7 linked regions of the Callithrix jacchus genome follow. The protein of the gene in region 7 interacts with the protein of the main gene of each other region in a biochemical or structural test. Links are inferred from orthologs where the notes say so. Each region holds a gene or a part of one and is shown on either strand. Other genes may lie near its edges.

The links.
Region 1: of the proteins of IKBKB (region 7) and MAP3K14, one has a biochemical effect on the other in vitro, tested with the Homo sapiens proteins (3 studies listed by BioGRID and IntAct, with this or other methods). The link is inferred for Callithrix jacchus from reciprocal best matches to the Homo sapiens genes IKBKB and MAP3K14.
Region 2: of the proteins of IKBKB (region 7) and MAP3K1, one has a biochemical effect on the other in vitro, tested with the Homo sapiens proteins (3 studies listed by BioGRID and IntAct). The link is inferred for Callithrix jacchus from reciprocal best matches to the Homo sapiens genes IKBKB and MAP3K1.
Region 3: of the proteins of IKBKB (region 7) and TNFRSF1A, one has a biochemical effect on the other in vitro, tested with the Homo sapiens proteins (2 studies listed by BioGRID, with this or other methods). The link is inferred for Callithrix jacchus from reciprocal best matches to the Homo sapiens genes IKBKB and TNFRSF1A.
Region 4: of the proteins of IKBKB (region 7) and NFKBIA, one has a biochemical effect on the other in vitro, tested with the Homo sapiens proteins (58 studies listed by BioGRID and IntAct, with this or other methods). The link is inferred for Callithrix jacchus from reciprocal best matches to the Homo sapiens genes IKBKB and NFKBIA.
Region 5: of the proteins of IKBKB (region 7) and NFKBIB, one has a biochemical effect on the other in vitro, tested with the Homo sapiens proteins (2 studies listed by BioGRID). The link is inferred for Callithrix jacchus from reciprocal best matches to the Homo sapiens genes IKBKB and NFKBIB.
Region 6: of the proteins of IKBKB (region 7) and TRIM21, one has a biochemical effect on the other in vitro, tested with the Homo sapiens proteins (2 studies listed by BioGRID). The link is inferred for Callithrix jacchus from reciprocal best matches to the Homo sapiens genes IKBKB and TRIM21.

What each region holds. Positions count from the first base shown.
Region 1 is NC_133506.1:85,675,890-85,679,389, forward strand, and holds part of MAP3K14 (mitogen-activated protein kinase kinase kinase 14), read right to left. Parts: intron 2,361-3,500; coding exon 2,291-2,360; intron 740-2,290; coding exon 529-739; intron 423-528; coding exon 1-422.
Region 2 is NC_133503.1:153,003,104-153,006,603, reverse strand, and holds part of MAP3K1 (mitogen-activated protein kinase kinase kinase 1), read left to right. Parts: intron 1-502; coding exon 503-584; intron 585-693; coding exon 694-877; intron 878-2,849; coding exon 2,850-3,128; intron 3,129-3,500. UniProt on the Homo sapiens protein: Component of a protein kinase signal transduction cascade. Activates the ERK and JNK kinase pathways by phosphorylation of MAP2K1 and MAP2K4. May phosphorylate the MAPK8/JNK1 kinase.
Region 3 is NC_133510.1:19,941,195-19,944,694, forward strand, and holds part of TNFRSF1A (tumor necrosis factor receptor superfamily member 1A), read right to left. Parts: intron 1,234-3,500; coding exon 1,080-1,233; intron 798-1,079; coding exon 669-797; intron 446-668; coding exon 296-445; intron 76-295; coding exon 1-75.
Region 4 is NC_133509.1:69,916,368-69,920,389, forward strand, and holds the start of NFKBIA (NF-kappa-B inhibitor alpha), read right to left. Parts: upstream 2,801-4,022; 5' UTR 2,692-2,800; coding exon 2,477-2,691; intron 1,869-2,476; coding exon 1,760-1,868; intron 1,430-1,759; coding exon 1,219-1,429; intron 922-1,218; coding exon 833-921; intron 726-832; coding exon 465-725; intron 116-464; coding exon 68-115; 3' UTR 1-67. UniProt on the Homo sapiens protein: Inhibits the activity of dimeric NF-kappa-B/REL complexes by trapping REL (RELA/p65 and NFKB1/p50) dimers in the cytoplasm by masking their nuclear localization signals.
Region 5 is NC_133523.1:34,461,083-34,465,192, reverse strand, and holds the start of NFKBIB (NF-kappa-B inhibitor beta), read right to left. Parts: upstream 2,801-4,110; 5' UTR 2,708-2,800; coding exon 2,529-2,707; intron 907-2,528; coding exon 801-906; intron 719-800; coding exon 385-718; intron 1-384. Other genes in the region: SIRT2 (NAD-dependent protein deacetylase sirtuin-2), read left to right, coding at 3,221-3,236. UniProt on the Homo sapiens protein: Inhibits NF-kappa-B by complexing with and trapping it in the cytoplasm.
Region 6 is NC_133511.1:69,716,676-69,720,665, reverse strand, and holds the start of TRIM21 (E3 ubiquitin-protein ligase TRIM21), read left to right. Parts: upstream 1-1,190; 5' UTR 1,191-1,260; intron 1,261-3,568; 5' UTR 3,569-3,645; intron 3,646-3,990. UniProt on the Homo sapiens protein: E3 ubiquitin-protein ligase whose activity is dependent on E2 enzymes, UBE2D1, UBE2D2, UBE2E1 and UBE2E2.
Region 7 is NC_133514.1:44,086,796-44,090,295, forward strand, and holds part of IKBKB (inhibitor of nuclear factor kappa-B kinase subunit beta), read right to left. Parts: intron 2,439-3,500; exon of another isoform or gene 2,295-2,438; intron 1,423-2,294; coding exon 1,295-1,422; intron 1-1,294.

The sequences.
Region 1 (3,500 bases), on a different chromosome or scaffold from region 7:
TTGCTCAGGTATGGGCCAGGCAGGGGCTTCTGGCTGTCTACACAGGCCGGTTTGCTCAGGTGTGGGCCAGGCAAGGGTTGCTGGCTGTCTACACAGGCCAGTTTGCCCAGGAAGGACTCTAGGGTGTGAGGTTTCCAGGGCTGGAGAGGGTGGAATGGGAAGGGATGGGGTGGTCTGCTATAGGGGAAGGGGTGTGTGGTTGGGGGCACGGGGCCTCTGTCCTGGGGGTGGTGCAGTTTCCACACGTGGTTCAGACACTGCAGGGGGCTGATCAGTTTGTAGAGTTCCGATCGAGGCAGAGCTGGCCGTAGGCCCTCGCCAAGCTGCTTGAAACAGAGTTGGCCAAGGCCTGGTTCCTTCAGAGGCTTGGTGAACTGTGGGGTGTTTCTAACATATGGGGTACCGAGTGGAGACTCATCCTCCTGCAGGGGAAACACAGCTGTCAGCACACAGGGCCAGGCCCAAGGCACAGCTCCATTTCTGAGGCTGCATGAGCCCAGGGTCTGGGCAGTCGGCGGAGGGTCTCACCTGCACTGGGACAGTGCAGCTCTCCTGCTCAGGGGTCCTGGGGAGGGGTTTGGCCAAGGCCACTCCTGCATGAGCCAGGGACTTTGAGCTCTTCTTCTTCCGTTTCTTCCGGGCTTTGCTGCGACGCTTTCCCTTCCAACACACATGGGCCGTTTTGCCCTCTGTAGCATGGGCCACATTGTTGGGGATCTGATCAAGACTCTCAGACTGGCTGTCAAAAAAGGGACAGATCTGCATGTTGAGCACGAGGAAGCAGGAAGACAGAATGGTACAGATAGCTGTGTCTGGGCTCCTGAAGACCCAAGGCCAAATCCCAGCTTGCCATTCCTTGTGTGAACGTGGCAAAGTTTCTAAACCCCAAGGAGCCTCAGTTTTCTCACTTACCTCACTTATAAAATGGGTTTGGTATTTTCTGCCATGCAGGGTGGAGATGAGGCTTCAATAATTTAATTCACTTAAAAAGCCTAGCTCAGTGTCTGCCCCCAAAGCAAGCTGCCAAGAAGCCGTGCTAGTTACCATGGTGATGGGGCGCAGGCTCCGCACTTCTTGGGGAGAGTAGAGGAGCAGATATGGCTTGCTCACTGCTCTCCAAGGTGAGCTGCCCCTGGGGAGTTCCCAAAAGGGGGCCACGCTCATGGCAGGCACTCTCAGCTTGGACTGAGACAGCTTGTTTCTGTTGCCTCCGGACGGAGGAACAGGTGAGGCTGGTCACCTCCATTCTCTTAGTTCCTGGGGGTCCCTGGCTGCTGTGGGAGGTGACAGCCTGGGCTGCTGCCTGGTACCGGGGAGGCTACTCTTCTCTGCTGGCCTTGGGGCTCATCACTACCATGGCTCTAACTGGACTGGGATCCCTGCCAGGTATTAAAGGGCCTGGCAACAGAAGGATTGCTACAGAACAGCTGTGGAGCAGACCATGGCTTCAGCCACCTCCCTTGGCCTCATCTTCTGCCCCCACAGAGGCAGACTCACAGCAGTGCCAGGGACCAGTGGAGGCCTACAGGCTTCTCTCAGACAGCTGAAAGAAGTGTGTCTTTCAGAGGCTCCTACCCTGGGCCAAAAGGCACCCAGGACAGCGGAAGGAATCCCACCAAACGCTGAGCATTCCTTGTTCCAAGGCAGCTGCCCTCCCCACAGTCTTATCACTACCAGGTTCCAAACTCCAATGATACAAAAACCCGCCTGGTGATGGGGAGGGAACTGTTTCTAACTCAAACTCGTGCTCCAAAAAATCGTCTGTGGGGGAATGCGGAGCCTGGGAAGACTTCCTTTCCATGAGGCCACCCTGGCTTCCTTTCCATGAGGCCACCAAGTCGGTCTGCCCCCTCCTTTTCCACCACCCGCATCCCTACTCGGTGTATTTCCCAGGAGAAGAGGTGCCAGCAGGTTTCTCCCATAGAGGACAGTGGAAGGGCCCCCTGCCCTGCACTGACAGCCACGCAGGAGGGGGAAGCAGCTCCAGTTCCCAGCACCCTCCCTGTTGATGGGAAACGAGGGGGTGCATTAAGGACTCTGAGGAGAACAAAAATAAAATGTCAAGTTGATGTGGCCCAGAGGCAGTCAGCCACAAGCTGTGAAAAGCCTTTGAAAAGCTTATTTGGCTGAGAGAGCGGCTCAGCCAGGAAAGCCTGGGCGAGTTCCAGGAGCTGAAGCACAGGTGCTGAGGGGGGGAGCCCAGGGTCAGCAGGATTGGCCCAGGCAAGCCCTGGGGACAAGGACGCTGGGACCCCGCCTTCCCACTCAGGCTGCTCTCCCGCTTCCTTACCTGTACTGTTTGGACCCAGCGATGAAAATGCGTTCTGAAAATGTGGGGCTGAACTCTTGGCTATTCTCGCCTAAAGGAAAAGGAGTTCCATTAGCAGAGAGGAGAAAGAACAGGAATTCAGCACTTAGGGGAGTGCTGTCTCAGAGATCCCTTCTAGCGCACTCCTTCCCCTCCTTTGCAGACAACCCTGTCTGGCAGTCCCCTCCCCACCAATGCCTCCTTCCTGCACTGTTTCCCCTGCTTCCCAGCTTAGTGGTCAAGAGCAGACCATGGCCCCAGCCACCTGCTCTGAAATAGCCATGCCTATAGCATGGGGATCGTAGGGAGCCTAACTCACTTCCTTTAAAGTGAAGTAAGATGATCTACAGAAAATGCTCAACACAGTGGCTGGCGCATAGGAAAACGGCTCGATAAATACCAGCTATTATGTATTTATATTTGTATGTACATATAAGTGTGGATTATGTATGTGTATGTTTTTTAAAAAAATTATTATGGCTGTGCATCATGGCTCACACCTGTAATCCCAGCACTTTGGGAGGCTGAGGCATGCAGATCATGAGGTCAGGAGATCGAGACCATCCTGGCTAACATGGTGAAACCCTGTCTCTACTAAAATTACAAAAGATTAGCTGAGTGTGGTGGCACATGCCTGTAATCCCAGCTACTTGGGAGGCTGAGGCAGGAGAATTGCTTGAACCCGGGAGGCAGAGGTTGCAGTGAGCCGAGACCACGCCACTGCACTCCAGAGTGAGACTCCGCCTCCAAAAAAAAATTAATATGTCACTCACTGCATTTTAGTTTTTATTCTCTCATCTCTCCTAAAAAAACAACCAGGAGAAAGTGGGAGACGCGGGCAGGATGTGCACGTGTGGAGAAATGCCTGCACGGCAGTCTAGCTCTCCAGGTTCCAACTCAAGAAGCTTCCTGGGTTGAGGGAAGGTGTTGAGAGGACTCCTGGCCCTACCCAGCCCTCCTCGGAGTTTCTGTCTCCAAGGGAAACCACCATTACTAGTCATCATGAGGCATCATGAGTAGAAGCAGAAAGGACCAGATCAGGCCTCACCCTGCCATGGCTGCCTGCCCCAGGACTGGCCCAGCAGGCTCAAGAGCATGATGCTTATTACTGGGGGTGGGGCCGCCTCTAGGTAGAAGGTGGTGAAGGGCCTACAGGCCCCAGCGGGGCTTTCCAGGAGACCTGGCCTTTCCT
Region 2 (3,500 bases), on a different chromosome or scaffold from region 7:
AGGGGAGATTGGTGAGATAATTTTTAAAAAGTGTATCTAAGTATGTGAAAAGTTTTCCACAAATGGGAATGTAGGATCTTCAGGAGATGGGCGGTGTGAGCAAAGAAATGCAGTAAGTGTGGTATCTGTGATAATGGGAGAAGTGCACAGAATTAGAAACAGTTTCAATCTGGAAGGTATACATGAAGGGAAGGAGATGAAAGAAGACCTGGGCAGGCATTACAGAAAGGCTAGCATCACAGTAGGGTTTGGAAGGACTTTATCTGGTAGGGGAGAATGTTTTGAAAAATAGTAAGCAGAGTGTGTTATCAGAACAAATAAAATAATATTTGCATATCAAAATGATTTGGCCTGCTGTGTTTACTTGCTTTCAGTAACTAATCAGATTATTTTTGAGGTTCCTTCTATATAAATCCTATAGTAATTATTATAAATAATTATGACATATAAATAATGTTAAGCGTTTATGTTTTTGTAAGATTTTGTTTGTGTAATTTTTCAGGGGCAGAAGAGTGTAGAAGAAATAGAGAACCTTTAATATGTCCCCTTTGTAGATCTAAGTGGAGATCTCATGATTTCTACAGGTAATAATTTTGAAATAATGATATGTCGGTTTAATTTTTAAAAAATTCTCAAAGTGTGGTTCAAGTCTGTTAATTTTTTTAAAGCAAATTTTGTTATATTTCATTTTAGCCATGAGTTGTCAAGTCCTGTGGATTCCCCTTCTTCCCTCAGAGCTGCACAGCAGCAAACTATACAGCAGCAGCCTTTGGCTGGATCACAGAGAAGGAATCAAGAGAGCAATTTTAACCTTACTCATTATGGAACTCAGCAAATCCCTCCTGCTTACAAAGATTTAGCTGAGCCATGGATTCAGGTAAGTAGTTATTTTTCATTTCTCAAAGAAATATTTGTAGATCAATTAATGTGTTTGTCCCTTTCCCTCAGTTGTTTATAATTTAAGAAGATACTTTTGTTTGCTCTATCATGACCCCTATTCTGTTGGAAATTTTAATGTTATTTTTAGTATTAATACTATGCTGCTTATTGTAGAGCTTCAACTTCAAAACGTCTTTATGGTTCCACTTCACTTATCTAGAAACATCTCTTCCTGAACTAACAGACATACAGGGTTATTCAAGGATAGAAGAATGGAAACCAGAACCCTTCAATTCTAACTTTTCCCAATGTTTAATCCCCATTCCTGCCAAGAATTTGTATATTTATTTGCTACCATTTAAAATCAGTTACTCCTTTCCATATCATAATGTTATAAATAATTGCTGAGCAGATGAATAAGAAAAAAAGTGGTGTTTACCTTGATTTCATCATTTTTATTTGTGAGAACAGTTTCCATTCCTTTACCATCTCTTTTGACTGGTCCTCAGTAAGTAGGGCTTTTTTGTCAGTTGGTTTGTAATGATATTCTTGGTTATGGAATGCTTAGTCTATTATTTTTTAAATGTAGGATCTAAAACCAGACAGGTCTCCAGTAGACAATAGTGAAGTAAAATAATTATTTTCAATAATCTGTTAAATTCCATTGAATACTATTAAATTTATGAACAGATGCATTAACACATTGAGCTTATATATCGTTAGATTTGTTTCCTTTCTCTTTTGTGACCATTACAGTCCTGCATCTTTGGAATTCTCTTAGCATATTAGCAACCCATTTATGAATCTTAATAAAATCTGCAAAAATATTAAACACATATTCTTGTATCTAGTTCACTAATGAAATTTAGTGAACTGTTAATAGGCCCTCACCTGCCCATTCATGACCCATCAAAGAACTCTCAAGTTGATTCTGAGCTATTAGATGCCTTTCTTTCAAGGATATGGTCTAGTTTGTTTCGCTTAAGCTTTAGATTGGACTAGGCTCTATATTCCTAGCTTTTTATTAAGCATATTAGGAAAGACAGATTTAAAACACAGGTAGTGGTACACTACTTAACAGTACCAGAAACTCACTGTATTCTAGTTGGTTCATTCTCCCATAATATCCCTTTATAACAAAACACATGTAAATAAGTATGTCATGATCTGTTTTTCCAAAAATTGCGTTTATTCATTTTTAATATTTAGACATTTTTCACATGATGAATTATCTTATGTATTAAGCTTACTTTTAGCTTTGGCTCATAATGTCAAGACCATTCACCCTTTCTTACTATAGGGATTCTGTGGCTTTTAGGGCATGGTATTGACAACTATAACAGTATATACCATAATTCGAGGTCTACCATTATACTTTGCTTACTCCAACACAAGCATTTTTTTCTTCAGTTGTTTGATTTGTTCACTTCATTCATTACAGTCCTACCTGTTTTGTCTAACTTTTTAAACCTTTTTGTACAGACAAAAACCGATTAAATGCTTTTTGCTTATTACTGTTGTCTGTAAAGGAAATACTCTGTATCTCTTGAAACCTTCTCCTTGTACCTTTCTTGTTTTTTTTTTTTCTTAATCTTGCTCCAGTTTTTCTCTTTAAATACTTTAATATGAATATAAAGTTGAGATTTTCACAGTTTTGGGGGTTTTTGATAAACATGGGGGATGATACAGGCATAGAATGTATGTATAACCATCCAGTGACTTGATGGAATTTTTTATTAATTTTACCTGAACTAATAAGTATTAAAGACTTTGGATAATTACCAGTTAAACTTGAGTATAAAATTCTTCCTTTATGATGTTTAAGTGGCTGGACATATTTGAAATTGTGTAGTATGGTAAATATTTAAGAAATGTCCAGTTTTTATATAGTAATCCAAAATGATGCTTAACTCGAAACTGCATGCATAAACTTTTCTTTACATTGAATTCACTGCGTGTGTTTGATACAGGTGTTTGGAATGGAACTCGTTGGCTGCTTATTTTCTAGAAACTGGAATGTGAGAGAGATGGCCCTCAGGCGTCTTTCCCATGATGTCAGTGGGGCCCTGCTGTTGGCAAATGGGGAGAGCACTGGAAACTCTGGGGGCAGCAGTGGAAGCAGCCCGAGTGGGGGAGCCACCAGTGGGTCTTCCCAGACCAGTATCTCAGGAGATGTGGTGGAGGCGTGCTGCAACGTTCTGTCAATGGTCTGTGCCGACCCTGTCTACAAAGTGTACGTTGCTGCTTTAGTAAGTAGCTTTACTGTATAATCATATCATTATGGGTTTGGGGTTTTTTGATGGTTAGTAGATAGTGTTTTTAAGATACAGTAAAACTACTTTACCTACTTTGGGGAAATCCAGATTTTATTTTTATTCCATAATCCCAGGAAATTACAGTTTTTCTTCTATTCTGTTTATTTGAATGTTGCTGATTTCATTATATTCAGGGTTTCCAGTTTTTCTTTTTTAGTTTTAATGTTTTAAAAACTTTGAAGGGGTATCCGAGGGAGAGAATACAGTCATGGTTTCTTAGTTTCTGTTTCTGGTCGGACCAGTAAACCTCCTTCCTCATCCTTCTTTTCCGCTTATCACTAGAAACAGAAACTAAAAGCCATGACT
Region 3 (3,500 bases), on a different chromosome or scaffold from region 7:
TACAGGAGACACACTTGTTTTCACATAGAAAGAACCCTGCATGACAGTTGCACACGGTGTTCTGTTTCTCCTGGCCTGTGGGGAGAAGTGCCGCACAGCTAAGGAGGAGCGCCTTGCACCCCCACCCCACAGGACAGAGGAAGTGATGAGGGACAGGGTGGGGCGGCTGGCCCAGAGGAGTTGGTTGTCAGACCCACAGACTAGGGAGGGGAAGAAAAGGAAGTGCCCGCGGCATGGGGAAGGGGTCAGCCCCTGGGGTGGGGACAGGGCTTGGGATCGGGAGAGCTGCACTCACAAGGGATATGTATGGTGCCATTGAGGCAGAGGCTGCAGTTGACACATTGGAAAAAGTTTTCATTAAAATAATGCCGGTACTGGTTCTTCCCACAGCCACACTCCGTGTCCCGGTCCACGGTGCAGGGAGAGATCTCCACCTGGCCCACTTCTGGTGTCGGGAGGAGATGGGGTATGAGTCCTGCAGCCCCTTCCTGACACGCCGCTACGTGTGTGTCTGTCTCTTAACACACAGTCACACCCATGCAGTGTCCCACTGACACACGTGCCCACACCCACCTGCCCTCACGCAGGCGGGTGCCCACACCCACCTGCCCTCACGCAGGCACACGCCGCTGAAGACCCGCCTGACTCTCCAGCCTGTGCACACTTACCCTCTCGGCATTTGGAGCAGCTGAGGCAGTGTCTGAGGTGGTTCTCTGAAGCGGTGAAAGAGCCGCTCTCGCACTCCCTGCAGTCCGTGTCCTGCCCTGGGCCTGGACAGTCGTTGTACAAGTAGGTTCCTGTGAACGAGGCAGCAGAGTTAGGCTGCGGGTGAGAGCTCAGGGAAGGAGCCATGCAAGGGACAACAGCAGAACCCTTCCTGCTGGGAACTCACTCTCTCAAGTTCCTTCCAGCACCACCCGCTGTAGTTCTCATCGCTCCACCCTGAAGTCTCTAGGAGAGGAGGGAGGGAGAAAATCCCAGCCCAGGAGAGGAAGCAAAGTTAGGGAAGAACAGCTGAGAGAAGCAGAAGCAGCAGCGCCCCAGACCTGAGGACGTTCACCGTTTCCACTTTCTCCTACCTTTGTGGCACTTGGTACAGCAAACAGAATTATTTTGAGGGTGGATATATTTTCCTTGGGGACACGCACTGTCTCTCTTCTCCTTGTCCCCGAGGTGAGGGACCAGTCCAATAACCCCTGAGGGGTATATTCCCACCAACAGCACCAGGAGCACCTGGGGAAGAATCAGATAGAGGAGACACCATCAGGAGAGGGAGGGAGGGAAGCTTACGGGCAACGGATCTAAAACGTCCCCAGCTCAAGTCCTTCCTCCATGAAACATTCCCCCCAGGCCACCCCCTCACAAAGCTGAGAGTTCTTCCTGGAAACTTAGACAGTTGGGGCCATATAATCTGAAGCTTCATTTTTCTCTAGTTGTCCTGTGTGCTCATTTGTGTTCCCTCAATTCGAAGCTAGTAGGCCCCAGAGCTAAGCTGTATTTTTTTTTTTTTTTTTTTTTTTGAGACAGGATCTTGTTCTGTTGCTCAGGCTGGAGTGCAGTGATGCAATCACTGCAGCCTCCACCACCCACGCTCAAGCGGTCCTCCCACCTTAGCCTCCTGAGTAGCTGGGACTACAGGCGTGCACAACCATGCCCAGCTAATTTTTTTTTTTTTTTTTTTTAGTAGTGTCAACTCCTTCTACCAGTTCAACAAGTCTCCAACAGCTAAACCCGTTCAAAAAATCCTGGTCTCAAAATCCTGGGCTCAAGTGATCCTCCCACCTTGGCCTCCCGCAGTGCTAGGATTACAGCACTGCATTTTATCCTCACTGTGAAATCCCCGACAGCCTCTAACAGTGCTGGACACCGGGCAGATGTTGAAGGTTGTGTTTTTGATTGGGAATTGGCAGGTTACTTCAGGGCTTGTTGGCCCTTTCTTCCAACAAGCAGCCCTGAAGACTGGGGCAGTGTTTCTCCATCTGGGTGCTGGGTTCACAGTGGGATCACTTTGTGAACATTCACAGGGGTAATCAGTGAGGATCTGTGCACATCCCGGGAGCATGTCACACCATGAAAAGCTTTCTGAAAAGTCGGCTGCTGGTGGGGGCGAGCAGTGTTCCTGTGAGCACCACTCCTGGGGAGTGGGCAGAAGCAGAAGGAAGTTTATTTACCCGTTTGTATCAAACCTTATTTGGCCTCCTGCCCTCACATTCCCTGGCCCATCCCCTCCACCTCATAATCTACACAAACACCCAGGGTTGGCAAGGACAAATGGGGAGGGGAGTCAAAGGGAAAGGTTGTGGGCCCTGGATGGGTGGATGGGAGACGAGTTGAGATGGGGACAGGAGTGGGCAAAGGTGTACAGGTCACAGGCAAATATTGCTGGCGAAGGCTGGTGACCCAGCTTGGATGAGGGTCAGGTCAGAGCTGAGGGCGTGCTGGGGGGTCCCGGAGGCCCCTGCACGCCATGGCATTCTGGAAGGTATGCTTTACAGCCTCAGGCCAATCCCGCAGCAGCTAAACGGCTTGCCCTGTTCTGGCATCAGAGCCAGGAAAGCAAAGCCAGGAGTGAATATTTAGCTCCAGCCTGGGACTTTGATCTCTGCCAGTTTCATTTCTGGTTTTCCCTGGGCTTCCACTTTTTTTCTCTGCTATAAGAGTCACTTTATGTAAAGATAAGAGGGTGTCCTCAACGTCTGTTAAACACTGGGGAGCAACAGACTCACCAGGTCACAGAAACCCCAGGCCAGGGAAGAAGGGCCAGGCAACCCGCAGCTGCCCAGCCTCTCCAGCTCCACATTTCTGAGTAGGAGGCCAGTCGCACCCTGAGTCAGCCACTGGGAGACGCTGCAGCTGCAGCTGCAGCTGCACAGGCCCGGAAGCCCAAGCCTCAGCCGCAAACATGTGAAGCCAAACAGAACAAACACAGCGGAGCCCCAGCCCTGGCGGGCGGAGGTGTGCGCCCCCTCTCAGAGGACAGCAACCTTTCCCAGCCCACACCAGCCAACACCGTGCCACCTCCCCTGAAATAGGACTGGGGCATCCAGGGCAACAGGAAGGGCTTGGGGTGGTGATGGGAAGAACTTCCCAATCCTGAAAGTGTGGTTCCTTTCCCCGAAGAAGACATTGGGGCATCTAAGGTCACTGGCATTTTGGATCCCATCCCGGCCGCTTGAGGCAGAGTCAACAGGCAGAGACAGAGTCAGGATGAAGAACTGGGGGACGCCAGTCCCAGACAGCCTTGAAGGAAGCTTTACAGGGACCTCTGGCGAGTGGGGGATGAACCTCCCTGGAGGGAGGAAGAGAGGGAGAGAGGCTTTCTCAGGTCACGTGTTCCTTTTTCATTCCAGTACTCTGGGGGTTAAGTCAGATCCGGGAAAGGGAAATCTTTTCCCAGCAACTCCGCCCCAGTGACTCAGGCCAGAGGGAGGGAGATCTAAGGAGGGGGAGAGGGAACTAGCAGCTTCCCCAGCTCCTCAGGGTCGTGAGTCAGCAGAAAG
Region 4 (4,022 bases), on a different chromosome or scaffold from region 7:
TTTAAGAAAAATAAAACTCTCTTTTTGTACAAATATACAAGTCCACGTTCTTTCAGACCCTTTGTGCTCATAATGTCAGACGCTGGCCTGCAAACACACAGTCATCATAGGGGAGCTGAAAACAAAGGGAAAAAAAGAACGTTAAACTTCTGGAGCTCTGCCAAGCTATTGGGATGGGGAAGCTGCTACTGGAAATAACACTTGGACTCCATTCTCCGTAGCCCAAATATAGTGAACTTTACAGGTTGAGGGAGTTTGCCTTTAATGCTTCTCTTTTAAAAAAAACAGTGCGCTATTAAAAAAAAAAAAAGGCACATTCTTGGGATACTGGTTATACACAGAAATTTGAGAGATTCATTACATGGACATTCCTCTAATGAAGAGCAGCTCTAGGGGACTGGGAGGGTGAAGGGAAAGCCCCCCCGCCATTAATTTCACAGAATACTGAAGCAGTTCAGACTCACCTCATCCTCCGTGAATTCTGACTCTGTGTCATAGCTCTCCTCATCCTCACTCTCTGGCAGCATCTGAAGGTTTTCTAGTGTCAGCTGGCCCAGCTGCTGCTGTATCCGGGTGCTTGGGCGACCCCAGGTAAGCTGGTAAGGGGAGTAGCCCTGGTAGGTAACTCTGTTGACATCAGCCCCACACTTCAGCAGGAGCGACACCAAGTCAGGATTCTGCAGGTCCACTGCGAGGTGAAGGGCAGTCCGGCCATTACAGGGCTCCTGAAACCAAAAGGAATTTGAGATGCCTATGGCTGCGTTTGGAATTTCTGCTTGCAACACAAGCACGAGGAGCTTGACTCAGAACATGGGAGGCAGGAAGCACTCACCTGAGCATTGACATCAGCACCCAAGGATACCAAAAGCTCCACGATGCCCAGGTAGCCATGGATAGAAGCTAAGTGCAGACACGTGTGGCCTGGAAGAACAAAAGGAAAAAAGCATAACCATTTGTTTCAACCCTCCTAAAGCAGCACCTTTCACCTATTCTTTTATGGGACAAACAGTCATGTCTTCTGAATTTTAAGAACCCCAGTCTGGGTTCTGAAGGGACTTTTAAAATGTATCCAATAGGCATATTGCACACATCTTTTCTCGATCTTTCACAGGTTGGGAGTTTAAGCTCTTTCCTGGACTCCCTAAGTTGGCCCACGTGCCCTTTCTGCATGTCACCTGCCCTCTGAGGGGGTGGGGCAGGGCAGGAAGGCAGACATACCATTGTAGTTGGTAGCTTTCAGGATGGAGTGGAGGTGTGGGGTGGTGCAGGCCTGAGTCAGGACTCCCACGCTGGCCAGGCAGCCCTGCTCACAGGCAAGGTGTAGGGGGGTATTTCCTCGAAAGTCTCGGAGCTCAGGATCACAGCCAGCTCCCAGAAGTGCCTCAGCAATTTCTGGCTGGTTGGTGATCACAGCCAAGTGTAGTGGAGTCTACCAGTGCAAGAGAAACCAGAGAGAGTAAGCCATGAATCAAACCCACACCCCGAGTTCCCCGGATCCCCAATGTCTCCTGGTTGGGTGCTGCTCCTCCCAGGTGGGAGGGTGGGGAGGGCTGGCAAATAGCAGAGGCTCCAGGTGGGTCATAAAGACCTCACCAAATCCATAGAATTTCCTTCCCTCTCTAGGATGGGGGCTGATGCGAAGTAAACGGCAGGGGTGAATAATGCCCAGTGGCCCTTAATTCAGAAAGGATCTGGGGTGACTCTGCTACATCAGCTCTGTCCCAGGGTCAAAGAAAGCCCGGGCCAGGCACGTGCGCACCTGCTGCAGGTTGTTCTGGAAGTTGAGGAAGGCCACGTCTCCCTTCACCTGGCGGATTACTTCCATGGTAAGTGCCTTTTCTTCATGGATGATGGCCAAGTGCAGGAACCTGTGGGGAAGAGGGAAAAACCCCCAGGGGTGGTGAGTGCACCGCGTGGGGCCCAGGGAGGCGCGGGCTGCGGGGGATTGCGCAAGGCCGGGGTTTCTGGAGGCCGAGGCCGCGGTGTTTTCCGCGAGGTTATTATGAGCTGAGTGTTCCTGGCAGGCGCCCAGGGACTTTCCGCCCCCCTCCTTCAGGCCTCGGCGGGCGCCGGCCAGACCGCCCCGCCCTCCCGCCGGCTCGGAACGCCCTGTACTTCCCCTCCCGGCTGCAAGGCGCCCGCCAGCGGCCAGAAACTCCCGCCCCGCCTTATGCAACCGGGGACTTCGCGTCCCCACCGCCGCCCCGCCCCCGGCCTAGAGGACGGATGGGGGGGAGGGGGCGTGTGGCGACGCTGCGGTCCACCAGAGCCGAGCCTCTGCCCCTCCTAGTCCAGCCGGAGTCCCGCGCGGCCCTGCGGCCCTGCAGCGTTCGGCGCCGTGCAGGAGCCCCGGGGCGCCGCGGTGCTGGCCCGGCTGCAGCGCTGGTCCCCGGGCTCGGGCTGCAGGCCCAGCACCCCCCAAGCCCCGCCTGCGCGCGTCCGGTCCTCCCAACGACCCCTGGCCCGCGCCACTTACGAGTCCCCGTCCTCGGTGAGCTGCTGCTTCCAGGGCTCGGCGCCGTGCTGCGCCTCCTGCGGCTCTAGGCGGATCTCCCGCAGCTCCTTGACCATCTGCTCGTACTCCTCGTCCTTCATAGAGTCCAGGCCGCTGTCGTGGCGGTCGTCCAGCAGCCGCTCCTTCTTCAGCCCATCGCGGAGGCCCTCCATGGCCCACTCGGCTGCCTGGAACATTGCTCGGGCGAGCTGTGGGTGCTGCTGCGGGTGCGCTGGGCCGCGGGCTGCGCGCTGCTTCCTCGCTGGAGCGCTGGCGAACGGTACGGCGGCGCGGGCTGCTGTGGGCTCTGCAGCGCCGCCCCAACGCCCTTATAAACGCTGGCTGGGGATTTCTCTGGGGCGGGGTCAGGCGCGGGGAATTTCCAAGCCAGTCAGACCAGAAAAGAGAACTGGCTTCGTCCTCTGCTAGGGGGAAAAAGAAGCCTAAACCCTGAGCTGGGGTTCATCGGAGAAACTCCCTGCGATGAGGCACTGGGGTCACGGACAGGGAACTTTTTGATGAGCGCCGAGTGGCTGGAAAGTCCTTCCTACCAGGCCCCCTGCCCCCGGTACTTCCCTGCAGCCTGCACCCTGTAATCCTGTCCCTCTGCAAGTTAACCATTTTTCCCTGGGGTTTCCCACGATCGCTTTGAATTGGGGTCGTCGGCTGCTGAGATCCCAAGGACGCCGACCTGATGGGCAGTCCTTCTTTGGGGTTTGCCAACCTGCCGGTCTTTTCCGTTTTTTGATCTTTTGAAAACGCAAGAGTGGAAATGATGGCTGGGTGTAGGGATTTGCTTTCCGCAGACTTCTCTCTAAGGGGAAGGACGCACTGTGATTAGAAGGCTGCAGGCCGCCGACGTGTTTCTACCAATACCAGGCTCTTTGCAGCACCGGGACGCTTAGCTTCTCCACCCCCACCCCCACCCCCACCCCCACCCCCACCCCCACCCCCACCCCCACCCCCACCCCCACCCCCGCACACCCCGCCAGATAGAAGTTGTGAAAGCTTTGGAGTGAAAACCTAAATCCTTGGAGAACTCTCAAATAAGTTCCTATGGAAGAAGAGCTCTGTTGACTGGGGGAGGGGTGAACTCTCCCTGTACGGGGGAAACTGCTAAATAGGACCAGGATTTTCTTCCCCCTAAGTAAAGCTAGGTGCTAATCTTTGTAGTAGTGGTTGTGGATACTTTGCAATAACAAAATAACTATTGTGTTCCTAAGTAGCGATTTTGTTCATGCTCTCTGACCTACATTGTGCTGCTGCAGAGAATGGATCCTGAGCCTACTTCTGGGTGCAAACTGAGCAATTCTCCAGGAACACTTGGAGAAGGAGACTGAAGAATGAGTTTAGTTAGTACCTTAAACCGCGCTTGGACCGTAAGGACCACTAAGAAACTAGTTGCCAGGCATCCTGCGGGAGGCTGAAGGCAGTCTGGTCCTGCCCGCCCCTCCTTGCTCCATTGTCCGGGGGGACGGTAGCAGTTGGACTCATTCATGCCACCCAGGTAGAAAGGGGTTTGGGCTCA
Region 5 (4,110 bases), on a different chromosome or scaffold from region 7:
CTGGGAACCTGGGGTGCCAGAGTTTCCCAGAGGGCCTGAGCTCTGCATTCCCTGGTCCTAGGTGGGGTAGGGATACCAGCTTGAATACACCCTGCAGGTGGGGAGCCCAAGGGCCCAGCAACTGGATCCTGGCAGCTCTGGGTCTATGAGTGCCAGGTCTGCGTCCCAAGTGATCTGGGGCCTCCAAGTGGGAATCCTGGGTCTTACATATCCAATTGTCAATCATCTGGGCCCTGAGTGGAGGTCCCTGGTCCCGATGCCTGGGTTCCTGAAGCCTAGGCGTGATTTCCCAAGGAGTTCGGTCTGGAATCAGGGAAGAGAGCCCAGGGCCAGGTGCTCTCACCTAGCCTGGGAGCTCAGTCCTTCCCTGGTGGCGACCCTCACCCTCATAGTTTTCAGCCTCCAGCTGTAGCTTCCACTCCTCCTCACTCTCCTCTTCTTCCTTCTCCAAGTCAGAATCGGGGTACAAGGTGACAGGGGTATGGTTGGTGTCGGGATTGTGGTCTGGGCCATGAGCGAGGTAGGTGTCCGGGGCTTCCCTGGGCCGCCGAGGGCGGGGCTGAAGCAGGGCACGGGCACAGGCAAGTGCCCCCACACGGCAGGCCAGGTGTAGCGCCGTGTGGCCCCCACGCTCTGCCACGCACAGCCCAGCGCCTGCTGCATACAGCTTCTCCACCGTGGATGCCTCCCCCAGGATGGCTGCCAGGTGCAGGGCCGTCTGCAGAAGCAGAGGACAGGCAGTAGGGAGTCACACTGGGAACCCCAGACCCCAACCCCTACTCCATCCCCTCGTGGCTCACCTGGCCTAGGTCATTCTGCAGGTCCATGTACTCAGTGCCGGCTGAGAAGCCTAGAAGAAAATCCAGGAAGGGTTCGTGCTGATGAATCACAGCCAAATGCAGTGCCCTGGGGACAAAGACTGGGGTCAGAGGGCAAAATTCAAGTCCTCTTGCATTCCTTCATTCAACAAACATGGGGTGGCTACTGTATGCTAGGCTTTGGGACCACAGTTCTGGAACCCACTGTCAGCTATCTGGGAGGGTCAGAGAGGTCAGAGTTTCATCAGCAAATTTGTGGAACCAACAATGTTTATTCAGTGGGATTTCCACTTCTGCCCAAAATGAAGTAACATGGACCAGACTTCCCTCCCACAAGAAACAAAGAAAAATCAGACGCAATACGGTATATGAAGCAACAGTGTTGAAGACGCTGGACGTCATGCAATGAATCACAGTGGCCCCCGAAAGACAGGAAACATGAGGTGGGCCCTACACTTGACTGCCACAGCTTATGGTCTTGAGAGCCACGGTTGAGAGAGGGGACCCCAAGCAGAGCCCATCAGGTTGTCTGAGGTCAGGAGATGGACATGGAGGAAGAGTCTGTAGAGACCAGGCTTGCAAGAGTCACAGGACAGAGTTGTTGGCCAGGCGCAGTAGCTCACACTTTGGAGTGAGCTAAGAATCAAAGACCAATTGAAAACTAAAATAAAATTAATGAAACCAAATTAATTAACAAAAATTAATAAACCTAAAGCTGGTTCTTTGGTAAGATCAGTATTTATTAACTGCTTCCTGGGACAGGCACTGCCTGCATCACTGGGCATAGGGCAGTAAACACAACAGACAAAAAAACCCAGTACAGTCCCTCATCTGGGCCTTTGCAATTGCAGTTCCTTCTGCCTGAAATGCTCTTATCTTGTTTATCTATTGCCTCATTTTCCTGCTTTATTTTTCTCCAAAGTACTGACAACCTGTGACTTTCTTTCCTTCTCTTACTTTCTGTGTCTTTCTTTCTGCATGTCTTTGTTTCTTTCTGTCTTTCTGTTTCTTTCCTTCCTTGCTGTCTTATCAATCTGTTTAGCCCCACTAAAATAAAACGTCTCCTTCACAAGGGCTTTAGTTTTTTGTCTGTTTTCTTCACTGCCTTTATCACTAGCACCTAAAACGAAGCCTGGAATGTGGTAATATGTAAAGAATATTTGTTCAACAGATGAATCCTTGGTTTCATGGAGCTTACATTCTTTTTTCTTTTTCTATTTTTCTACTTCAATTAGGAATTCAACATAGGAGAACTTACATTCTCACTCTTTTAAGACTTGAAGAACACTGCTCAGAAAACAAGATCTTAGAGTCAGGGACCAAGTATTAATTTCGGAAATCAGTCTAAGGCTCACATCAGGAACTAAGAATCAAAGATTATATTTGGAGGTTCGAAGTCAGGAGAAGCCACAGTTCTAACAAAAGCCTCAGGACTGGAGTCGGGTTTGGGTATCCGTGGACAGAATGTGGATTCCAGGAGCTGAGAATCATAGTTCAAGAAAGGAAGGTCTGAAATGATTGGGTTAGCATCACAGCTGGATAGAAGATTGGTTTTGTTAAAAGTTAGGACTCAGGGGTTACAGGTCAGGAAGTTCAGCATCGGAAATCAGATTTAGGAGTAGGAGGTTAGGAAGCCTCAGGGATCAGAAACTAATGGGGAATCAGACGCCGGGTCCTAGGGCTCCGTTTGGCAACCTAAGGTTCACTCACGTGTCCCCATCCTCAGTGACGTAGCCGAAGACAAGGGGCGCCCACGACAGCCCCGGGCCCAGCTCTGCGACCAAGCCCGGTCCTCCGGGGGCCGCTGCGTCCGGACCCAGGGAGCCCAGGCCGCTGTCGCACCATTCATCTGCGTCGGCAGCTTTTCCCAAGCACGCGACCCCAGCCATGGCCCCCGCCACCTCAGGGGCCCCCCGCAGTCGCTTGCCTGGAGCTGGGCTTTGCCGGCAGTTCTGGCGCTTCCGCCCTGCGGGAAATTCCCCACCACGCCCCCTAATTCATCCAATGATAATATGCTGAATCGCTCGCGCCCTACCCTGGTACCATATCGTGACCAATCAGAGTATTTGGGAGGACTACGACTCACTAGCCGTTTTTACATTTTCCGGGCGCCCTTTACCAACATGGCTGCTGACGCCGCGCCTTCTGGGACTCGAAGTCCGGCCCTAGCGCGCTTTCTTACCTAAGTCTGGGGCGCTCTGGCTGTCGTACGAAAGCGCGGCTTCTGCCGCAATGGCTACTGGGAGTTGTAGTTCTAAGCCCTATCCCGGCCACTCCCATTTCTGGTGCCGTCACGGGACAGAGCAGTCGGTGACAGGACAGAGCAGTCGGTGACGGGACACAGTGGTTGGTGACGGGACAGAGCGATCGGTGACAGCCACGAGGGCTTCAGCACCGTGCCCATGGCAGAGCCAGACCGTGAGTCGGGGACCCGGGTGGGAGGGTCGGGCCGCGCCGGGGCCTAGCTGAAGGCTGCAGGCCCCGGGGCCCGAGGGCGGCCGCTGCGGGGCGGGAAGTAGGGAGCGCTTCGGATAGTGGGATTCTGAGGGTTGTTGCTAAGCGATCTGTATCGCTAGGCTGGTGGGTTTCTGGGTCGCAGGTTGTTCGGGGTTGGTTTATCACATCCGCTTGCCAAGTTGCCAATAATGGCGTGTTTTTCGTATCTTGGTTGCTGAGGACCCTCGCTGCAAAGAACCTAAGTTGCCGCGGTCCCTGTTGCTAAGGGTACCTAATTGTTAGAGGCAACCGGAGGATGCTGAGGGACCCCTGTTGTCCCCTCCTATGGCTTCCCTTCGTATCCGCGCCTCTCCCAAACCTACCGCCTCCACTGCACCACTGCACCTCCCTCCCAGACCTGCCTCCCAGCCGAAGCGTCCCCTCCCTTCTCCCTTCCTTTCTAAACTTCCCTCTGCCTTGTAAACCTAACCCTCCCGCACACACACTCACACTGCTGCGTCCTTCCTAACTCCTCCTGAGTGTTCCTTCATGCCCTGAATCCCCTAGGCAGGAGGAAGGAGGATCGCTTGAGCCCAGGAGTTTGAGGCTGCAGTGAGCTATGATCGCACCATTGCACTCCAGCCTGGGTGACATGAGCCAGGCCCTTTCTCTAAAAAGTAAAAGACAAAGAAAGTCAGGGCCAGACACAATGGCTCATGCCTGTAATCCCAGTACTTTGGGAGGCCAAGGTGGTTGGATCGATTGAGCCCAGGAGTTCAAGACCAGCCTGGGCAAAAGCCCCTACTTCTCCCTGTCCTCCTAAATCTTCCTCCCCAGCCTCTCTGCCCCTCACTAA
Region 6 (3,990 bases), on a different chromosome or scaffold from region 7:
GGAAAGTGTGGTACACATACACAATGGAGTACTGATTAGCCATAAAAAGGAGAACCTTTCATTTGCTACAACATGGATGAAAAATAGGGGTCATTATGTTAAATAAAATAAACCAAACACAGGCAAACAACCAATTGTACATTCTCACTAATAAGTGGAGCTAAAAATTAGAACAATTGAACTCATGAAGATAGCAGAATGATGGTTACCAAAAGCTGGGAAGGGTAGCCAGGAGTGTGTAGGGGGGTGATTAATGGGTTCAAAATACATGAGATAGAATGAATAAGATCTAGTATTTTATAGCATAACAGGGTGACTACAGACAATTTATCATACATTTTAAAATAATTAAAAAACATATAATTGGATTGTTTGTAACACAAAGAAGTGATAAATTCTTGAGGTGATGGATACCCCCACTTACCCTGATGTGATTATTACAGACCGTATGCTATACCTGTGCATCAAAATATCTCATGTAGCCCATAAATACATACATCTACCACAGACACAGAAAATTTAAAATTTAAAACAAAATTACTTGGGTAAATTTTATATTCTGTGTATTTAACGATTAAAAATTAATATAACCTGAGAATGTCCCTAGCTCGGTGATAAGAACATAGTTGGTTATCAGATGTCAATTCCCTTCTCACCACTCACTGGTGGGATACTTACCTCGGGGTCATGCGAAATAAATCACTCACCTGCAGATGTTAAAAAAATAATAGTCACATCAGTCACATGAAAAGAATTAGCTTCTGGAAGTAAGAAACAGATGACGGCACGTGAGGGAGAGCACCAGCCACTATTCTCTGCATCCAACCCTCCTTAAAAGCAGCTTCCAGACATGGGCAAAGCATCTAGGTGTGGGGTGATAACCAGTGTCAAAGAAAGCAGCCCGGACTCCCCCATCTTGCAGATATTTTACTAAATCAGATAATGAAGACATGGGAGGGGGTGCGCACCCAGGACCACAGGCTACTGGGCTTCCATTACTTCCCAGTCTCATAGAAGCCCCCTGGCTGTCCAGAGCCTCTGAAGCCCCCCGCCAGCCCAACTCTGACTTCTCTCCTCCCACCTCTCTTCCTTCTCAGCGGCATTTCTCCACACACCCTTTCAAGGCTCCGCTCCTCCCACGGCTCCTCCCTCTCTCCTCTCACGGCTCCTCCTCCCTCCCCTTTCCCGTCAGACTTGCCTCTGAGCGGAAACTGAAAGTGAAATAGGGAGCTGGCTACCCGCGTTGAGTCCCCTGTAAAGGTGAGTGAACCTCACTAAATCAAGGAACCCCTGCCCTCCTAGTGGACCTCTCCCCTGCCCCAGGGCTGCAGAGCCCCTTCCAACCAGTCTCCATCCTTGAGCCGGTCCCATTTGCCCCTTCTCCCACCGGGGATCCCTCAATCCAAGCCCCTCTGTGCTTCCGAGGCTGGTCTCCTAACCTGGAAGGAGGCTGGGGTATGGACATGACTGCTGCGGAGTTACCCAGAAGGGGTAGGGTTCCGGGCACTTGGGAGGAGACTGGGGTGTGGGACGTGACTGCGGAGTTACCCAGAAGGGGAAGGGTTCCGGCTGCCCCCTACTTGGGAGGAGGCTGGGGTGTGGACGTGACTATGGAGTTACCCAGAAAGAGAAGGGGCCTGGCTGCCCCATTGCTGGCACCTGAGCTGGGATGAGAGCTGGGTGCAGCTGAGAGAGCCAGCACTACTGCCTAGCCAGGAGCGTGGGGGAGATCTGCAATCCTGGAGACTCCCAGGTCCAAAAGTCCTCCAGAGGTGAGGGGCAGGCTGCTTAGGATGTTCAACCAGAAATGTATAGGCCTTCAAAATTACTCTTTGTCATAGAAGAAGTGATGTCAGGAACTAAACTAAGTTTGGAGCAGCTGAAAGAAGAGCCCAGGGAGTGCTGGCCACAGTTCCTGTTGCTCTGTGTGAATACATTCACATATACATGCTCATGTACATACATATACACCTGACTTTTGCCAATATTGGAATGATTAATGAAGATGTATTCAAAGCATGTGTAGTATCTCTGGCACATGGAAGGTACATGGTTAAAAGTAGCTATTTTATGACTAGTTTCTCAGCAACATGGAGGCCTGCTGGTACCAGAAAGAAGATGAATGGGCACTGAGGGTTTAAGCAGGAATGGACATGAGAGAACTGTCAGCTTTATGAGGTTCTTGCCAATTTTCACTCCCTCCTTTAGGGACTCAGTTTCTCCTTCTGTCCCAGTGGATCAATGGGCCAAACAGTGGAGGAGTTCTTGTTATTCAGAAGAATAAACTTATTAAACAAACTATTTGGTCCATGCAAAAGTAATACTGTTTTTGCCATTAATTATTTTTCCATTAATATTATGCCCTTTTTTTTTTTTTTTTGGAGATGGAGTCTCCCTCTGTTGCCTGTGCTGGAGTGCAGTGGCACCAACTCAGCTCACTGCAACCTCCACCTCCCAGGTTCAAGCAATTCTCCTGCCTCAGCCTCCTGAGTAGCTGGGATTACAGGCACCCACTACCACTCCCAACTATTTTTTGTATTTTTAGTAGAGACAGAGTTTCACCATGTTGGTCAGGCTGGTCTCAAACTCCTGACCTCAGGTGATCCACCCACCTCGACCTCCCAGAGTGCTGGGATTACAGGCGTGAGCCACCATTTTTATTTTTTTATTTTCCGTTTCATCATTTTGTTTTTCTTTTTTTAGTTTTAATTTTTCTGGGCATGTAGTAGGTATATTTATGGGCTACATGGAACATTTTGATACAGGTATACAGAGCCACCATTTTTATTTTTTTATTTTCCTTTGCATCATTTTGTTTTTCTTTCTCTAGTTTTAATTTTTCTGGGCACATAGTAGGTATATTTATAGGCTACATGGAATATTTTGATATAAGTATACAATGTGTAATAACCACATCAGGATAAATGGGGCATCTAGCACCTTAAGCATTGATCATCTGTGATAAACTATGCAATTATACTCTTTCAAATGTACAATTAAATTATTGACTATCGCCACCTGTTATGCTATCAAATACTAGATCTAATTCACTCCATTTTTGTACCCATTAACCATCCTACTTTTCCCCCAACACATCCTCCCTACTATTCTTCCCAGCCTCTGGTAACCATCTTTCTATTATCTAACTCCATGAGTTCAATTGTTTTGATTTTTAGCGCCTACAAATGAGAACATACAATGTTTGTCTTTCTGTGCCTGGCTTATTCCACTTAATGTAGTGACCTCCAGTTCCATTCATGTTGTTGTAAATGACAGGATCTCATATTTTATGGCTGAATAGTACTCCATTTTGTATATGTACCACATTTTATTTATCTATGTATCTGTTGATGGACACTTAGGTTGCCACCAAATCTTGGCTATTGTGAAACATACTGCAATAAACATGAGTGTGCAGATATCACTTTGATACAGTGATTTCCTTTCTTAGGGGTATATACCTAGCAGTGGGATTGCTGGATCATATGGTAACTCTATTTTCAGTTTTTTGAAGAACCTCCAAACTGTTCTCTGTAGTGATCGTACTAATTTACATTTCCACCAACAGCTTATGAGGGTTCCCTTTTCTCCACACCCTCACCAGCATTTGTTATAGCCTGTTGGATAAAAGACATTTTAACTGAGGTGAGATATCTCATTGTAGTTTTGATTTGCATTTTACTGATAATCAGTGATGTTGAGCAACTGTTCATATGCCTGTTTGTCATTTGTATGTCTTTTGAGAAATGTCTATTCAGATCTTTTGTCCATTTTTGAACCAGATTATTACATTTTTTTCCTATAGAGTTGTTTGAGCTCCTTACATATTCTGATTATTAATCCCTTGTCAAATGGATAGTTTGCAAATATTTACTCCCATTCTGTGGGTTGTCTCTTCACTTTGTGGATTATTTTCTTTGCTGTGCAGCAGGTTTTCAATTTGATGTGATCCTATTTGTCCAATTTTGCTTCGGTTGCCTATGCTTGTGG
Region 7 (3,500 bases):
AAAGCAAGTTCTGGGATTTGATTTCCTTTAATCTATCTCTCCTCTTTTCTATAATAAAAAAAATGCATGTTTCCTCTTAGGACTAGGCCACAGTGAGAAAGAACAGCATGTAATAAAACATCCATCTTTTTCTAATCTCAGCTACGCTGTGGGGAGATGAGAGACATCCTGTATACCTAGGTCCACCTTTCTAGAGTTTTGAGGATATCACTGAAGGGAATAAGCCACATAAGGGAAGACAGTGCCCCAGAACTCCTCTCACTCTGCAAAATGCGACAATCTGATGGCAGGAGCCATTTTTGCCAAGCCTCGGGGCCTCTAGCTAGGCTAAAGGCTCAGTGCCGGCCCAGAGGGCAATAGAAGAGGCTCCTGGCCTAGCTGCTATCCTCCAGGAGCTCATAAGATGTTGGGGAAATAATTTTTATTTAAAAAAAAAAAGGCTGGGCGCAGTGGCTCACGCCTGTAATCCCAGCACTTTGGGAGTCTGAGGCGGGTGGATCACGAGGTCAGGAGATCAAGACCATTCTGGCTAACATGGTGAAACCCTGTCTCTACTAAAAATACAAAAAAATCTGCTGGGCGCACTGGCTCATGCCTGTAATCCCAGCACTTTGGGAGGCAGAGGATCACAGGGTCAAGAGATTGAGACCATCCTGGCCAACATGGTGAAACCCCATCTCTACTAAAAAAATACAAATATTAGCCAGGCGTGGTGGCATGCCTCTGTGGTCCCAGCTACTGAGGAGGCTGAGGTAGAAGAATCGCTTGAACCCAGGAGGCAGAGGTTGCAGTGATCCGAGACTGTGCCACTGCACTCCAACCTCGCGACAGAGCAAGACTGTCTCAAAAAACAACCAAAACAAAAAACAAAAAAATCAGCCGGGTGTGGTGGCACAAACCTGTAGTCCCAGCTACTCAGGAGGCTGAGGCAGGAGAATTGCTTAAACCCAGGAGGCGAAGGTTGCAGTGACCAAAATTGCACTGCACTCTAGCCTGGGTGACAGAGCGAGACTCCGTCTCAAAAAAAAAAAATAGAGAGACAGGGTCTCACTACATTGCCCAGGCTTGCCTCGAACTCCTGTGAACCTCCTGCCTCAGCCTCCCAAAGTGCTGGGATTACAAGTGTGAGCAAAACTTGTATCACTTTTGTCCCCACAGGACCTAGCAGATGCAACAAACACCCAGAGAAGTGGTAAAATCATCGGACAGACATTCACCAGTGATGAATGCTTCCACCCCCAATCTCCTGACGTGCCCCTGATGGTCATGCTTAGCACTCCTAAGGAGGACCTACCTCTTCTTGGCTGTCTCGGGTAAGCTGTCAGAGGTCGTGGAAGGCTGAGACATCAGCTGCCCAGGCTGGCTAAGTCGAGAGGCATTCATGCTATCAGGGCTTCCACTGACGGGACCACGGACCTTGCTCTAGGGGACAAAATCAAAAGAAATTAGGAGCCAAGTAATGAATCACACTTTGCATTCACGCCACAGTATTTTCTCAGGAGACAACTGGCTGCCAGACGCCAGAGCTATCCCTAGAGCCCACCAGTCAGCTCCCCTACCCGAGGGTCGGCTGGTGCTTTGCATCTGGCTTCAAAAATGTTTCTGTATCAAAAGGGGGATGTTTGAAGAAAGGATTCTAAATTTAGGAGACCGGAGTGCCTACATTTATTTACAGGGTTTTTTCTTTTTTAAAAAAATCAGCTTTATTCCTTTATTTATTTATTTATTGAGAGTCTCACTCTGTCACCCAGGCTGGAGTGCAGTGGCATGATCTTGGCTCACTGCGACCCCCGCCTCCTGAGTTCAAGCAATTCTCCTGCCTCAGCCTCTTTCGTATTTTCAGTAGAGATGGTTTTTCACCATATTTGCCAGGTTGGTCTCAAACTCCTGACCTCAGGTGACCCACTAGCCTCAGCCTCCCAAAGTTCTGGGATTCGTGATCCATGGTGCCCAACCCCTTAATGAACTTTTACAAGAAAAGAACGGGGAAGTATTTTTACTCTTTTCCAGGTAGAAGACAGACACACACAAAAAGGCTATGGGAGTTCCTGTGGCTCTCATCCTATATGATCTGGCTGAGAAGAAGCCAGGACACCCTGACTCCCAGGGGGCTGTAGCCACTGCCCCTCCCAGCTTGAAGGATCAAGCAGCGGCTCCCGCTCCAGCTACCTGAGCCTCCTCAGCTCATAGCCCATGACCACCCGCCAACCTTCAGGTCACCCATCTGCTGATCTCTGCCCCGCATGGTCCTCACCCCACCCATGTGACCTCCCTCCCCCGCCCCTGGCACTCACTGTGGCCTGCAGTCCTTCATCCTCTCACGTTTCCCTCAGGCCATGGAACTCTCCTGGCTCCACATCCTCCCCTCCAGCAAAACCTCAAGGCCCACACATCAAGGAGCCATGCAAGTGCCCAAGCCGTCCTCCTGCTGACTGTGCCTGGGGAAAGGCCCAGCATTGGTCTCCTGTGCTTTTGCCCTGGACCACAAATGCAGCAGGAAATGGTGCCTGCGCTGCCTGGCTCCCTCCTGGCCAGGACCTGCCCCAGCTCCTGCCCCATCCTGTCCTGTGCTGCACAGGGACGGCTCAACTCCAACCCTGAGAGCAGCCCTTCTCAGTGTTGAGGTTGGCCAGGGGCTCAGATTCTCCAGCTGCCTGGAGAGGGACTTCCCCAAATCCCAGATGTGATCACATCCCCACACTCGAGTTCCTTTAATATCAAAGGAAAAGACAGATCCTGCCATGTCCTGTGTGCTTTGAAAACAAACATGGGCTGGGCGCTGTGGCTCATGCCTATAATCCCAGCAATTTGGGAGGCCAGGGCAGGCAGACTTCTTGAGGGCAGGAGTTTGAGACCATCCTGGCCAACATGGTAAAACCCCATCTCCACTAAAAATACAAAAATTAGCTGGGTGTGGTGGCATGAGCCTATAGTCCTAGCTATTTGGGAGGCCGAGACAGGAGAATCACTTGAACCCAGGAGGTGGAGGTTGCAGTGAACTGAGATTGTGCAGCTGCATTCCACCTGGGAGATGGAGCAAGACTTTGTCTCAAAAAAGGAAGAAAACGTTATACAAAAATTAGCTGGGTGTGTTGGTGGGCACCTGTAATCCCAGCTACTTGGGAAGCTAAGGCAGGAGAACCACTTGAACACAGGAGGCGGAGGTTGCAGGGAGCTGAGATCGTGCCACTGCACTCCAGTCTGCATGACAAAACAAAGCATGGCCCTCATAAGCTTGCCCTTGTCTTCTTCAGCAGCTTCATTCTCCATCGCAGCCTCCCCCCACACACCAGCCTGTCCCCACTTAGAACACACGGATTCCCCAGGCTCTCTGCCTTTGATAAAGCAACATCTCTGTCCTGGAACATCCTCACTCTTCAACTGGACAGCTCCTTATGAACTTTCTTATTGTTCCCTCTTTTCTAAGAAAAGCTGGAGCTCCCCCTGCACACAGAAACTGCAGCTCATGCCTCCTGGAGCTGCTTGCCAGCCCTTCCCAC